Rattus norvegicus: one gene and its partners. The protein of the gene in region 3 interacts with the protein of the main gene of each other region in a biochemical or structural test. Links are inferred from orthologs where the notes say so. Each region holds a gene or a part of one and is shown on either strand. Other genes may lie near its edges.

Region 1 (4,137 bases), on a different chromosome or scaffold from region 3:
TTTGGGATTTCTGCTCAACCCCTGATGTAGGCTTTGATGGCCTGTTGTTTAGTTTGCAGCTGAGGAAGTAAGTCAAAACTCAGAGGGAAGTGACTTGCCCAAGGACACACAACTACAGGGGACAGAAGCCTTTGCTACGAAGTAATGCTACAAACGACCATTTATAAACCCATCTCAAGAAGGTCGCCAGGGAGAGAACGCAGCCAAGTGTCAGGATAGAGGGGCTCTGCGTTGTGGTTTCAGAGAGGGGATATTTTAGCTGTATCTCAAAGCAAGGATGAGCCAGCCCTAAGCTCATGGGGGAGAGGTGTTTAGGTAGAGGTTAGCAGCACACACAAAGGCCCTGAAAGATGGGTTTGTGGAAAGGGCCCACGGAGGCAGGCTGTGTCAGACTTTTCCATTCATCCCTGGTCTCCATCCTGGTTCCTCTATGATTCCCTGGCTATTTCTGGTTTCAGCTATGTAACCCTGGGCAGATAGCCTCCCTTCTCTGTGCTTTTGTTTACTCTTGGCTGCCCCATACCTGTTCTCTGAGCCGCAGGGTCTTACTCTTGGGCCACAGCTGCTCCTAGGATGACGGGAAGTGGCTGTAGGGGCATCCATCTCTGGCAGGTATGGGAGGTAGTTTGTACTCTTGGATGTCAGACAGTGAGGCTCATTGTCAGCTTTCTACCATGCACAGGCCCTGGGCCTGCTGAGAGTAGACAGTGGTGACCAGACACTAGGATACCTGCCTCGTTTGGCAGGCAGGGAGCCAAGGGCCCAGTAATGATATGTTTCGAGTTTATATCTTACAGAGTTTTTCCTGCCTCTTGGGTACAGTGCTGTGAATGACAGGGTTCTCCACAGTTCCCTCCCCACAGAGGTCAAGGGTATTGGCTAAGCTACACCATGGTACAGGCAACAGAACTAAGCTGAAAAAAAAAAAAAAAGACAGGGTGATCTAGATTGCGGAGAACTGAGATGGAAGTGTGCCTATGCCTAGTTTCTGTATATCTGTCCCTGTGCAGCTTTGAGCCTGGGCACCTCTGGCCATCACAGGATACTGGGTCTAGGAGGAGAAGCTAAAAGGCGGCACATCTGAGTCTCAGTATAGCCAGAGCCTAGAGAGGGGGAGTGGAAAGGGGGCTCAGAGACCAGGACAGGAGAGCTCAGGCTCCAGGGCGGGTTGAGCCTTGGGTTGGGTGAAGTCTTAGCAATCCAAGGCCCCGCCCCAAGGCGGGACCCGTGGGGCGGGGTCTCAAGGCCTGGCTTGTCCCGCTCTTCTCCACCCGGCGCCGCGCGCCACCAGGGCTCTGGATTCACCGACGGCGGGTGCAAGGACAGACTGACCGCGGCGCAGCTCAACACAGAGCACGGAGTACAGAGTGAGTATGGAGCCTCTGGGTTTCCACGCCGCGCTCCCTCTAAGTCGGTCATTTTCTCTTGATCGCTGGCTACATCTCTCTGGCCTTCCATATCCCAGTCTTGTCCTTCAGGGTCTCCCAGGGTCACCCCCGCCCCCGCCCCTCAAGCAGGGAAGACTGGGCCTCTCAATCTGGCACCACCCCACCCGCAGTCGCAAACTGCCACACATGCACTCATGCTAGCAGAAGTTACTGCAAGCTCTGCAGAGGCACAGGCCACCCCAACTCCCAGTCCAGAATCTCTCATGCACGCTCACCTCTCCCATGTCCCTCCGCACGTGCGTGCTTTTACACATACTTGCCTGTATTAGGCATCCTTCAGGCATGCAAATGTGTCCGTGTTAAGCACGCGTGCGTTCAACATCCATAGAAAGTTTGGACCAACGCCGGCTGGTTCAACGCCTCGCTTATCTTCATCCACTATTTCACACGCATCTCCCACACAGGAGGCCTGTGTTGGACAATACCTGAAGACACAGAGGGCCCCACATTCAGGTGCACAGACAGTGTCACGGTCCCTAGCATCTGTGGTTCTCCTGCTGAGGAGTGGGTGCCTCAGCCTAGGGAGAAAAAAGTGGCTGCTGATGTTAGTCTTGGCTCACTCTCGCAGTGGCCTGGGGGGCCCAGGAGGGGCTCAGTCTTCAGGGGTGGGCTTGGCTCCTCACCACCTCTTGTTTCTCCCTTCCCTCACCCCAGCCTCCTAGGCAAGGGGCCATCCCTTCTTCCTCAGCTGTCCTGAGATCTTGCCCATCTGCTTTGCGGTGATGGGCACTTGGGCCAGTCAGACGTTGGTTTGAACCAGCAGGTGTTGCATGACAGGTCAGAAAGACAAAAAGGAATTTGTGCTGGAGGGGCTTGTTGCTCAGAGGGTGCTGAACCCAGACCTCCCCAGGGGAGGCCGGGTGAGCTTCCTGGGCTTGGCACTGAATGGAGCTGATGCATATTTGTGATGGAATGACTGGGGCTCTGCACCTCACCTTCTGGAGGTGCCAAGCATGTGTGTGTGTGTGTGTGTGTGTGTGTGTGTGTGTGTGTGTGTGTGTGTGTGTGCGTGCAGGGCCCCCACGAGGAAAGGCAGAATGAGAGATGTTGCCAAGGGTGGTACCCCCTTGTCTTCCCGCCCACCCCTCCATCTAGTATGTAGAAAGCATCTGACTGGAGGCACAGTCCCGCCAGCCCTGGCTGTGACTAGCTCTGCGTGTTTTGCTTGGCTCTCAGTATGCTATTATTGTTTTTAAAAATTTAATTAGCTGCCAGCATTTACTAACTGGCAGCTTTCACAGAAAAGTCCGGATTTCCGTCTTTTCTTGAAAAACTCAAGCTCCGGCAGCTCAGGATTCATATGCCTTTGTGGTGTGCTTCAACCAGCGCTGCTGGCCTGCCTCCCTTAGGGGTGGGCCAGGGGCACCTTTGGTTAAAGTCTCTACCAGGCCTTCCTTCTGGGCTCCTGTCTGGCCTTTGGAAATCTGTTCTGGTTGTGACCCTTTAAATCCATTGCTCTCTCAAGGGTGAGCCCAGGCTAACTTCTGCCATGCCTTAAGTAAGCCTCCTACCGTTGAGGACTTTGGTCACTACAAAGGTGGGAGTGTCGAAGACTCAGGCTTACCAGGGTCCTAGTGATAGGGCAGACATTTTGTGCTGGTCTGTGGGGGTGATAGCCTGGTGTCCCCGTAGGAGGAAGGTGAGAGCGCCTGCTGGACCTGAGACAGGCCTCACATGGCATTTTTCATCTTGTTATTCTGAGAGCCACTCTGTGAAGCTATATCCTGACTGACATGGAGAAGGGAGTCTCAGAAAGAATTCAGCAAGCAAAGGACCATGTTCACACCCCAGAACAATGCTCTCTGCCCTTCCAGCACTGAATCCTGAGAAATGGAGACCTGGATGTCAGTGACGTTTCCTGAGTCTTGTCCATAGCGGACACATAGTAGGTTCTCAATAAATGCTCCTACCATGACTAAGGCATGGAGATTGCTCCTTGAGATCATGACGGAGCAGAGCCCAGGGTTCAGGAATAAGATTACACATAGCTTGGTCCACATGGCCCTTTGATGTCTGATGAGAATGACAGCTCCCTTTCTATGACTCCTGTGGTCAAGTGGAGATCACAAAGTAAACCCATGGCACCACTCAGGTGTGACCTCTTGGACATCTGCTGGCCTTGTGCCTTACAAGCTAGGCTGTGAATGATTTTTTCTTATTTCCCTAGCTGGCTTTGGCAAACAGGACACCACACAGAGAGGAACTCAGGATACCACACGAGCTAAGCTCATGTTCCTGCAGGCAACTGCTAGATGGGTGGCTTAGGGCATGGTGGTCACTGTGTTATTCTAAGCTGAAATTTCTGTGGTCTCCCATGCTCATCTTCCGCATGTGGCTGATTGTAGGTATGCTAAGCACCCCTGTGACATGTGGCTGCCTGTCCATGGCTCAGGGGACAGGAGGAGAGGGCCAGCCATTCACTGGCTGCTCCTTGGATATTTCCTGGTAGGGAGGTAGTCTAGAGGCGGGGCCCTGCTCTGCCCCAACCCCATTCCTTGGACCTCAGTCTTTTCTTTTGTAGAGATTTCTAGCATTTACCAGTGCTCACGACCTTGCAGTGAGGAGGCAGAGATGGGGATGACTGTCTAGCATTTTGTCCTGGCCAGGTACAGATGCAGAACTCATGGGAGCTGGGGGTGGGTGAAGCAGATGCTGTCCATGTTGCTATGCAGCTGATTTTCTAACTGGA
Region 2 (4,328 bases), on a different chromosome or scaffold from region 3:
AGAAGACGCCAAACAACTTTTAAATGGAGTTTTCATTCCTGAGAAGAGGAGCCCAGTATACACACCGAAACGTGCATAGACTGTGCATGTCCCCACTAAAAGGAAAATGCCCACACAAAACATTCCCATATTTTTTCAAGCTTAATTTCACCTTATAGGTGTATATGTGTAAATGTGTTGAAACATTTTTATAGTGAACCTGGATTTTGAAAAGCCTCCTGGGCTCGACAGCTGCGTCTGGCACCACACTTCAGGCTCAGGCAGGTTCGTGATGAAGGAGAATCACTGTTTATCTCCCTTCTTTAAAAAAGAAAAGCATCGTGTTTCATTAATGGCGCACATCGGTGTAGTTTCGGTTGGATGTAAAGACAATAATCTTATCCCTTTGTCCGGCTGAAAGACTGTCCTTTAAACTATCATTATAAATGCCAGGAGTAAAAGTTGTTACAAGGTATTTATTGTCATTTCCTAGGCGTGGAAGGAATGGAAAGAAAGCCACACAGTTGAAAAAAACTGTTCACGCAGGGACCGCTTTCGCTTCTGCTCCCACAGTTGACACCCCTGAAAATGCTCCCTTCTCTCCCCCCAAGCCTATCTTGGCTGAAAGGTCAGCTTTGGAAAGGAACCTGGCCAAAGTTTCTGTAGGGAACCATGGCCATGGAGCTGGGTAGACGAAAGCACTCTAGCAGCCACTGGAGGAGGATAGGCGCTCTTCTCTGTGCAGCTGCCCTGGAGCCCTGATCACCCTCAGCAACCTGGATCTCCTGCTGCAGTTATCTGGACAAAGCCAGGCAGGAGTTCACAACCGAAATGTCTTCTAGGGCTAGGCAGGTAACTTCAAAAGATCTAAAGTTGCCAGATGGACGAGAAAACAGTAGGGGCATTGGCAACCTGGATAAGAGCCTATCTTTTAATTAAAGCGTTCAAAGGGGGCGGGGGGCAGGGGCGGGGGGCGGGGGAGTTAAAACTATGGCTGCACTGGCCAGAGCACCATTAAACAAAACTTCCAAGTACTGACCAACTCACTGAAAGTTGGTGCCCCAGATACATCTAGGTCCAGGGTTCCTATCTTCATGCTCCAACCTGCAAGCGGAGGTTTGGTCCCTTGGGGCTCTCAGCTGCAGCAGGGAAGAGAGTTCTGCACTTGGAGGCACCTAATGAGGGCGCAGCCGGTCTTGCGTTTCTGGTGATGCTTCCCGGGTTGCTGGGGGGCAGCAAGTGTCTCAGAGCCCCTTATTGGCTACATTTTACTTCCACCAGAATCCGAGCTGCGTCCAGATTTGCTCTCGGATGGGACTTGCAGCCCGGCACAGTTCCGGGGTAGTGGGGGAGTGGGCGTGGGAAACCGGGAAACCCAAACCTGGTATCCAGCGAGGGGCGTGGCCGGACGCAGGGAGTCCCCACCCCTCCCGGTAATGACCCCGCCCCCATTCTCTAGTGTTTAGCCAGCGCTGGCTCTCTGCACTGAGTCCTCAGGACCCCAAGAGAGTAGGCTGTGTCTCCTTAGATCGCCCGGAACGCTACTCCGCACGACTGAAAGCCCAGATTGTGTCCTGCAGCCGGGATAACCTGGCTGACCCGTGTCCGCCGACACTGCTGCAGCTGCGGCTGGAGCCAGGGCGCCGGTGCCCTGCGCTTTCCCAGGTTTTGCACTGCAGGAGCGCGTACCGCTTCTGTGACTTCTTTGCCGGCCAGGGACCGAGAAAGCATCTGTGCCCAGCGCGAGGTGCAGGATGGAGAGCAGGGCGCTGCTAGCTGTCGCTCTGTGGTTCTGCGTGGAGACCCGAGCCGCCTCTGTGGGTAAGGAGCCCACTCTTTAGAAGTAAGGTGGAGCAGGGTGCGGGCGGAGAGTGGGGATAACAGAGAAGAGGACCTAACTCGGAGAGCTCTAGAGACCCGTCCTTTGGTGTTCTTTCACTTACCAACCGGGAAACTGAGGTTCAAAGACTCTTCCGAAATGACTCAGCCAGGATTCTAATCTCCCCCGGGCTCTGGCTGGAGCGTGTCCTGCGGAGCCCACAACCCCTGGCGCTGGGTAGGCGGGAGTGGGAAGGCGCCCTGCGCCGGGGCAGGAGATGCTCCCACTGGCAGGAACAGGCAGTCAAATGCCGGGAAGCCAGTGCAAGCCGGGCGGCCTGACTGGCATCGAGCACGCAGGCTGTTGCTTGCTGCCCTGAGTGGAGCAGGGAACCAGCCTCCCGCTCCGCTCTGCTTTAGCTCCAGCGGGTAAGCTCACTATGTGCGCTCTTCACAGAGCAACACTTTCCTACCCAACTTTCTTTGGTGCAGAATGCCACTTTGCTGGCAGGAGGAAGCGGCTTCTTCTATGGTAGCTTTTCCAGGTATCTTAAAGTAACTCTCCACTTACTACTCCAAAGTGTTTGGTCCTGGGGTAAACTCTGAGTTTCTGAAAGTTTCAGAAACTCTTTAGTTTGGCACCTAGATATAGGCCATTTTTACTGTTTAAAGATGCCCTGTGTTTCAAGGTTAGGCTCTCACTCGCTCTTGGGCTTTTGTGCAACCCCTTCCCTTCTCTTCCCTCCTTTCCTTCCCCTCTTCTCCTCCTCATCCTCTTCCTCCTCTATTTCTCTCTCATTTTCTTTTTGTAGCCACAGTTTGCAGATTTCCCAGACTCCATCCATTGGAGAATGGAGAGTCAGAAAAAAAAAAAAGTCAATTCTGCAGAAACATTCCTTATATCCGAAGAAAATCGCATGCCTTAAAAGCACTGGCGCTGACGTACAGCGCCAGGATCATCTGTCTACAGTTATTGAATCTTCCTCATAATGACTTGGTTCACCAGGCTAACTCCATCATGGGTGCCCATTTGTTCCTGACAAGGCCTCACTCTCCCGCTTTCTGGGACGAGAAAGGCAGCCTAGAACACGTGCTTGCCCTGGGTCCCATAGCGAAGTGAGTTGCTGTGAAGCCTGGAGTGTTCCTAGTGTAGCAGTTTAACAGTAGCCCGTTGGTTGGTTCCCTGAATTAAACGGAGGTTGCCCTTTTGGAGTGTGTGACTTTCTTAATTGGATTGGACCATAATTGGTGCCATCGGAGTCTAGAGACAGAGCCGCTGTTGTTTTTCCTTCTGGTCTTTGAGTGGGAAGGATAACAGTGCACAAATTAATTAATGTTGGTTATCGGATTTGAACATAAAAGGGCTTTTATTGAGTAGCAGCATATGTACCTCTTACAGTAAGAAGGAGCTTTCTAAAGAACAGAACCCAAACTTGCCATTGAAAATGAATGAGGTTTAATAAGGGGGAGAGGGATCATTAGCCATTGATGTAAATCTCCAGTTATCGATAACCTCGTTGACTAGATTTGATTGCAGACACATCCCTTGGATACTATGGTGCTGTATTTGGTGTCTCGGGAATGGGGCATCTTTTACAGATGAGCAGAGCTAATGCGCCTGCCCTCTAAGAGCATCTATGGCTGTGTGTTATGACAGAGACAGTAGCGCGGCTCTGAGTGGCTGTAGCGTGTTGATCAGCGGTAGAGCGCTCAGGCTCTGCATTCGCTTCCCCACTGAAGAATAAAGGTCACTTACTGTGGTGGTAGAGTGGGCGCAGCTTACTACCACATTTTCCTCACCCATCTGCCTGAATAATGGGTTCACCCCATGAGTGTAGCCAGTGATTGTCTTCAGGTTAATGCTGCTCAGTCATGTTTAAAATCTACTTATCAAACAAATTGTTTTTATCTCCCACTTCTCAAACAAAGTAAGATTCCATCATTCAAAGGCTTGTCTATGAACATTTTAATTGCATGCCTATGTTAGGGACAGTAACTTCTTTGATATGGACAAATATTATGCCGGTTAATTGAATATAATTGCTCAGTTCTGTAGCCGTCTCGGGGTGGGGGGGACCAAGAGCACCTGTGATACAGTCACTTTCGATGCCATTTAAAAACCCCTATTTGTTGGTCTAGGAATAAACACACCATGAGGTTCAGACTCACAGTCCACACACGAGTTATTAACAATGCCAACTAACTTCTGAGATTCATTAAATGCCATTTAATTTCCAGCGTTTGAAAAATGTTAATTAATGAATAAATCCACGGTTATATCAGCAGCATATGTACATCCGGTTAGGTTGGGTGTATTCAGGGTGGAATTGCTGTAGACCGTTATGCACATCTGTGCAGGTGTGCGAGAACCGCTACAGTCAGTGAACGGCCTGCTCTGCTTGTTCTCAGAGGGCCACAGTGTCACGGCACCGGGTGTTTGCCTTGGCTGTTTGCTCATACTGCATTAGTGGCCTCATATTTGTTCCCGCTCACTCATTTGCCCAACACTGTCAATGCCAGCTGAGGCCTGA
Region 3 (3,560 bases):
CTGACCACCAGACAGGGACCTATGTAGCCCAGGCTAGCCTTCAATTTAAACTCATGGTTGTCCAGGAGTGCTGGGATTACCGGTATGTGCCGTGCCCAGCTCTGCTTGGCTACTGCCTGACTTCAGGAGGGAGGCCTCTGTTTTCTCCCACTCATTCCTTCCTGGGTCCCAGCTCTCAGACTGGCTGTTCTCTGCTAAGCATGGGCTGCCATCCTCACCTTGCTTTTGTCCTTGCAGGTGTGAATGTGACGATGCCCTCGCAGCCTGGGGTGCCACCTCTCTCCTCCACCCAGCTGCAGATCGACCCCACCCTGCAGGAGTTCCAGCTGGTTGACCTGTCCCGCCGCTTCCTGGTCCATGACGCTTTCTGGGCCCTACCCAAGCAGTTTCTAGGCAACAAGGTAGGAGGGCGGGTCCTGCTCAGTCCTGCTCATCCTAAAGTAGCCCCCCCCCCCAACTCTCCTTCATCCTGAAGCTGCACTGAGCCCGCTGCTCTTCCAATCCTCTTTGGGTTCTTCCCTGAGTACCGTTCTGTGGGCTGGCTAGAGTGCCGCACACTGGCCTCCCTGGGTACAGCATTACATGTTTTCAGCCATGACATCTCCCCATGCCCCCTTCTCTATGAGCCTCCGGTGGGTGGGCAAGGTGAGGAACTAAAGAACAGGATGCAACTGCCTAAGGATGGCTGCCCTGCCCTGATCTGTCCTGTCCCGGCCAGGTGGACTCCTATGGTGGCTTCCTGCGCTACAAGGTGCGCTATGAGCTGGCACGAGGCATGCTGGAGCCGGTGCAGAAACCAGACGTGATCCTCGTGGGTGCCGGGTACCGCCTCCACTCTCGAGGCCACACACCTACCCATCCTGGAGCTTTGAACCAGCGCCAGGTCCAGCTCTCAGAGGTGGGTGGCACCTGAATCTTGGGGATGGGTGTAGGGGGAGGGGTTGCCCAGGGTGAGAATAATACGTTGCTTGCAGGCACTGATAGTCAGAACAACCTTGTCCTCTCCAGGAACACTGGGTACATGAGTCTGGCCGGCCTGTCCAACGGGCTGAGATGCTGCAGGCCCTGGCGAGCCTGGAGGCTGTCCTGCTGCAGACAGTATATAACACCAAGATGACCAGTGTGGGGCTGAGTGACATTGTCATGGACACCACCGTCACCTATACCACCATCCATGGCCGGGCTCACAGTGTGGAGGAGTGCAGGTGCCTACCCTCAGAGGGACTGTGAACCACGGGACTCTCTCTCGGGTAGAGGTGAATTAGCAGGGTCTGTGGTTCCTGCAGCCATTCTCTTGGTCCTATCCCCACAGATGTCCCATTGGCTATTCTGGATTGTCTTGCGAGAGCTGCGATGCCCACTTCACCCGCGTGCCTGGCGGGCCCTACCTGGGCACTTGCTCTGGCTGTAATTGTAATGGCCACGCCAGCTCCTGTGACCCTGTCTATGGCCACTGTCTGGTGAGTAGCACAAGATACCACTTGGACACTGGATGGGAGTGGGGCTGCATCCACGAACATTGCATCATTTCTAGAATGGCTTGGATGGCTACCATGACCTTTGGATGCATTAACAAGAGGTGGAAAGGAGGCTCGGAGGTTAAGAGCACTGACTATTCCTCTAAGGGATCTGGGTTCAATTCCCAAGCAACCCCATGGCAGTCTGCAACTGTCTATAATTCCAGTTCCAGGAGACCCGACCCCGTCACACAGACATCCATGCAGTCAGAACACCAATGTGCATAAATAAACCATTTGAAACAAAAGAAAAAAAATGGAGAGATACAGTGTCCAGATGGGAGATGAGGGTCTGTCTCCCTTAGTGAGGGCTAAGGGTAGCATGGTTTAGGCGTTACACCTTATCTCGTGGGAAGAGTGATGAGGGCTAGGATTGTGGAGCTGATCAAAGAGAGGCATGGTAGTGCCACTGTCTTCAGATCCCTAGGTAGCTATAAGGTAGACAGAATGGACTCTAGGATAGAACCGGTCCTGGGTGCAGCCTGGAAGAGGGTGTCAGGTTTGGATCCGTATCACAAGGTGCTTGGAGCCATCTGTGAGACTGGCCACCATGCTGGGCTACTACTGCCAAGGAAGCCACCTGGATACTCCTATTTGCAAAGCTGTGGAAACTTCTAGAGTCTGTCTGGCCCAGTTCTACTCAGCAGGCCCCGGTTCACTATCTACCCTCTCCTGTTCTAGAATTGCCAGCACAACACAGAAGGACCTCAGTGTGACAAGTGTAAGCCTGGCTTCTTTGGAGATGCCACCAAGGCCACAGCCACTGCCTGCCGGCCCTGCCCCTGTCCATACATCGACGCTTCCCAAAGGTCAGAGCCCTCTCAGGATATAGGCATGGGGCAAGTAGGGACATTCTCTGTTGGGGAAACTGGGTACCCACATGGATTCCAGTCCTAGCCTGCTCACTGAGTTGTCTGTGCTCTTTGATCTTTTGTGGGCCTCATTTTTCCTTTCTGTATAATGGACCCATGCCCACAGTAGCTATGAGGTCACAGTGGCCAGAGATAGCATCATTCCTTTCTGTGTGTCTTCCTGGGGCAAGCATGCCAAGCCCAGCCCTGAGTTCTACTCTTCTACCTTGACCACTTGATCCCCACAGGTTCTCAGACACTTGCTTCCTGGACACAGATGGCCAAGCCACTTGTGACGCTTGTGCCCCAGGCTACACAGGCCGCCGCTGTGAGAGGTAAAAGGGAGCTGACAGGAGTTAAGGGTAGGAGGAGACAGGATGCCCTGGCTGGGGTGTGACAATGTCGTCTCTCCCAGCTGTGCCCCTGGATATGAAGGCAACCCCATTCAACCAGGCGGGAAGTGCAGACCCTCCAGTGAGTATTATAACCATGTTCTTTTTTTTTTAATTATTTATTTATTTTATGTATATGAGTATAGTGTCGTGTCTTCAGACACACCAGAAGATGGCATCAGATCCCATTACAGATGGCTGTGAGCCATGCGGGTGCTGGGAATTAAACTCAGGACCTCTGACCGCTGAACCATCTCTCCAGCCCCCAGTGACCACGTTCTGATGTAGCCTGCTGGGCTGGGCTCCTCCCTGACTTCCCAGAATCCCTGGAGAGCCACCCATTCCCACTCAACCTGCCAATGCTTTCCTCTTGCCTCCAGACCAGGAACTCGTGCGCTGCGATGAGCGAGGGAGCCTGAGTGCCACAGGAGAAGCCTGCCGCTGTAAGGTATGTGTACTGCCTACTCCCTCCAAGACCTTGGGCCCAGCCTTACTGTGGTCAGGGCAGGGAAGAGATCCTAGCCTCTCAGATACCTTGGCGAGTGGGCACTGGCCTTGCCTGAGACCATAGGCCTGGCTATATCGTGAGGAAGTCCTGGCCATGGGCAGGAACACTGACTAAGGAGTCAGTCGCCCTGAGTTCAATTTCCCAGCATGCTTGCAGCAACTGCTGTATATGTTTTGGCCCTTACCTGCACCACTCTGTCAGGTCTCATGTTGACGTGTCTTCAATAGCAGGAGAATCAGATGTCAGTGGAGAAAACTGGGCAGGTTTTGCAGTCAGGTAGTCTCGATCTTAT

What was found.
Region 1: the proteins of Hspg2 (region 3) and Fbln2 form a complex in vitro, tested with the Homo sapiens proteins (2 studies listed by BioGRID). The link is inferred for Rattus norvegicus from reciprocal best matches to the Homo sapiens genes HSPG2 and FBLN2.
Region 2: the proteins of Hspg2 (region 3) and Kdr form a complex in vitro, tested with the Homo sapiens proteins (2 studies listed by IntAct). The link is inferred for Rattus norvegicus from reciprocal best matches to the Homo sapiens genes HSPG2 and KDR.

The regions. Positions count from the first base shown.
Region 1 is NC_086022.1:125,260,370-125,264,506, forward strand, and holds the start of Fbln2 (fibulin-2 precursor), read left to right. Parts: upstream 1-1,289; 5' UTR 1,290-1,367; intron 1,368-4,137. UniProt on the Homo sapiens protein: Its binding to fibronectin and some other ligands is calcium dependent. May act as an adapter that mediates the interaction between FBN1 and ELN.
Region 2 is NC_086032.1:32,570,583-32,574,910, forward strand, and holds the start of Kdr (vascular endothelial growth factor receptor 2 precursor), read left to right. Parts: upstream 1-1,480; 5' UTR 1,481-1,733; coding exon 1,734-1,800; intron 1,801-4,328. UniProt on the Homo sapiens protein: Tyrosine-protein kinase that acts as a cell-surface receptor for VEGFA, VEGFC and VEGFD. Plays an essential role in the regulation of angiogenesis, vascular development, vascular permeability, and embryonic hematopoiesis.
Region 3 is NC_086023.1:155,005,792-155,009,351, forward strand, and holds part of Hspg2 (basement membrane-specific heparan sulfate proteoglycan core protein precursor), read left to right. Parts: intron 1-237; coding exon 238-401; intron 402-718; coding exon 719-898; intron 899-1,008; coding exon 1,009-1,205; intron 1,206-1,312; coding exon 1,313-1,460; intron 1,461-2,198; coding exon 2,199-2,326; intron 2,327-2,616; coding exon 2,617-2,703; intron 2,704-2,783; coding exon 2,784-2,842; intron 2,843-3,140; coding exon 3,141-3,208; intron 3,209-3,560. UniProt on the Homo sapiens protein: Integral component of basement membranes. Component of the glomerular basement membrane (GBM), responsible for the fixed negative electrostatic membrane charge, and which provides a barrier which is both size- and charge-selective.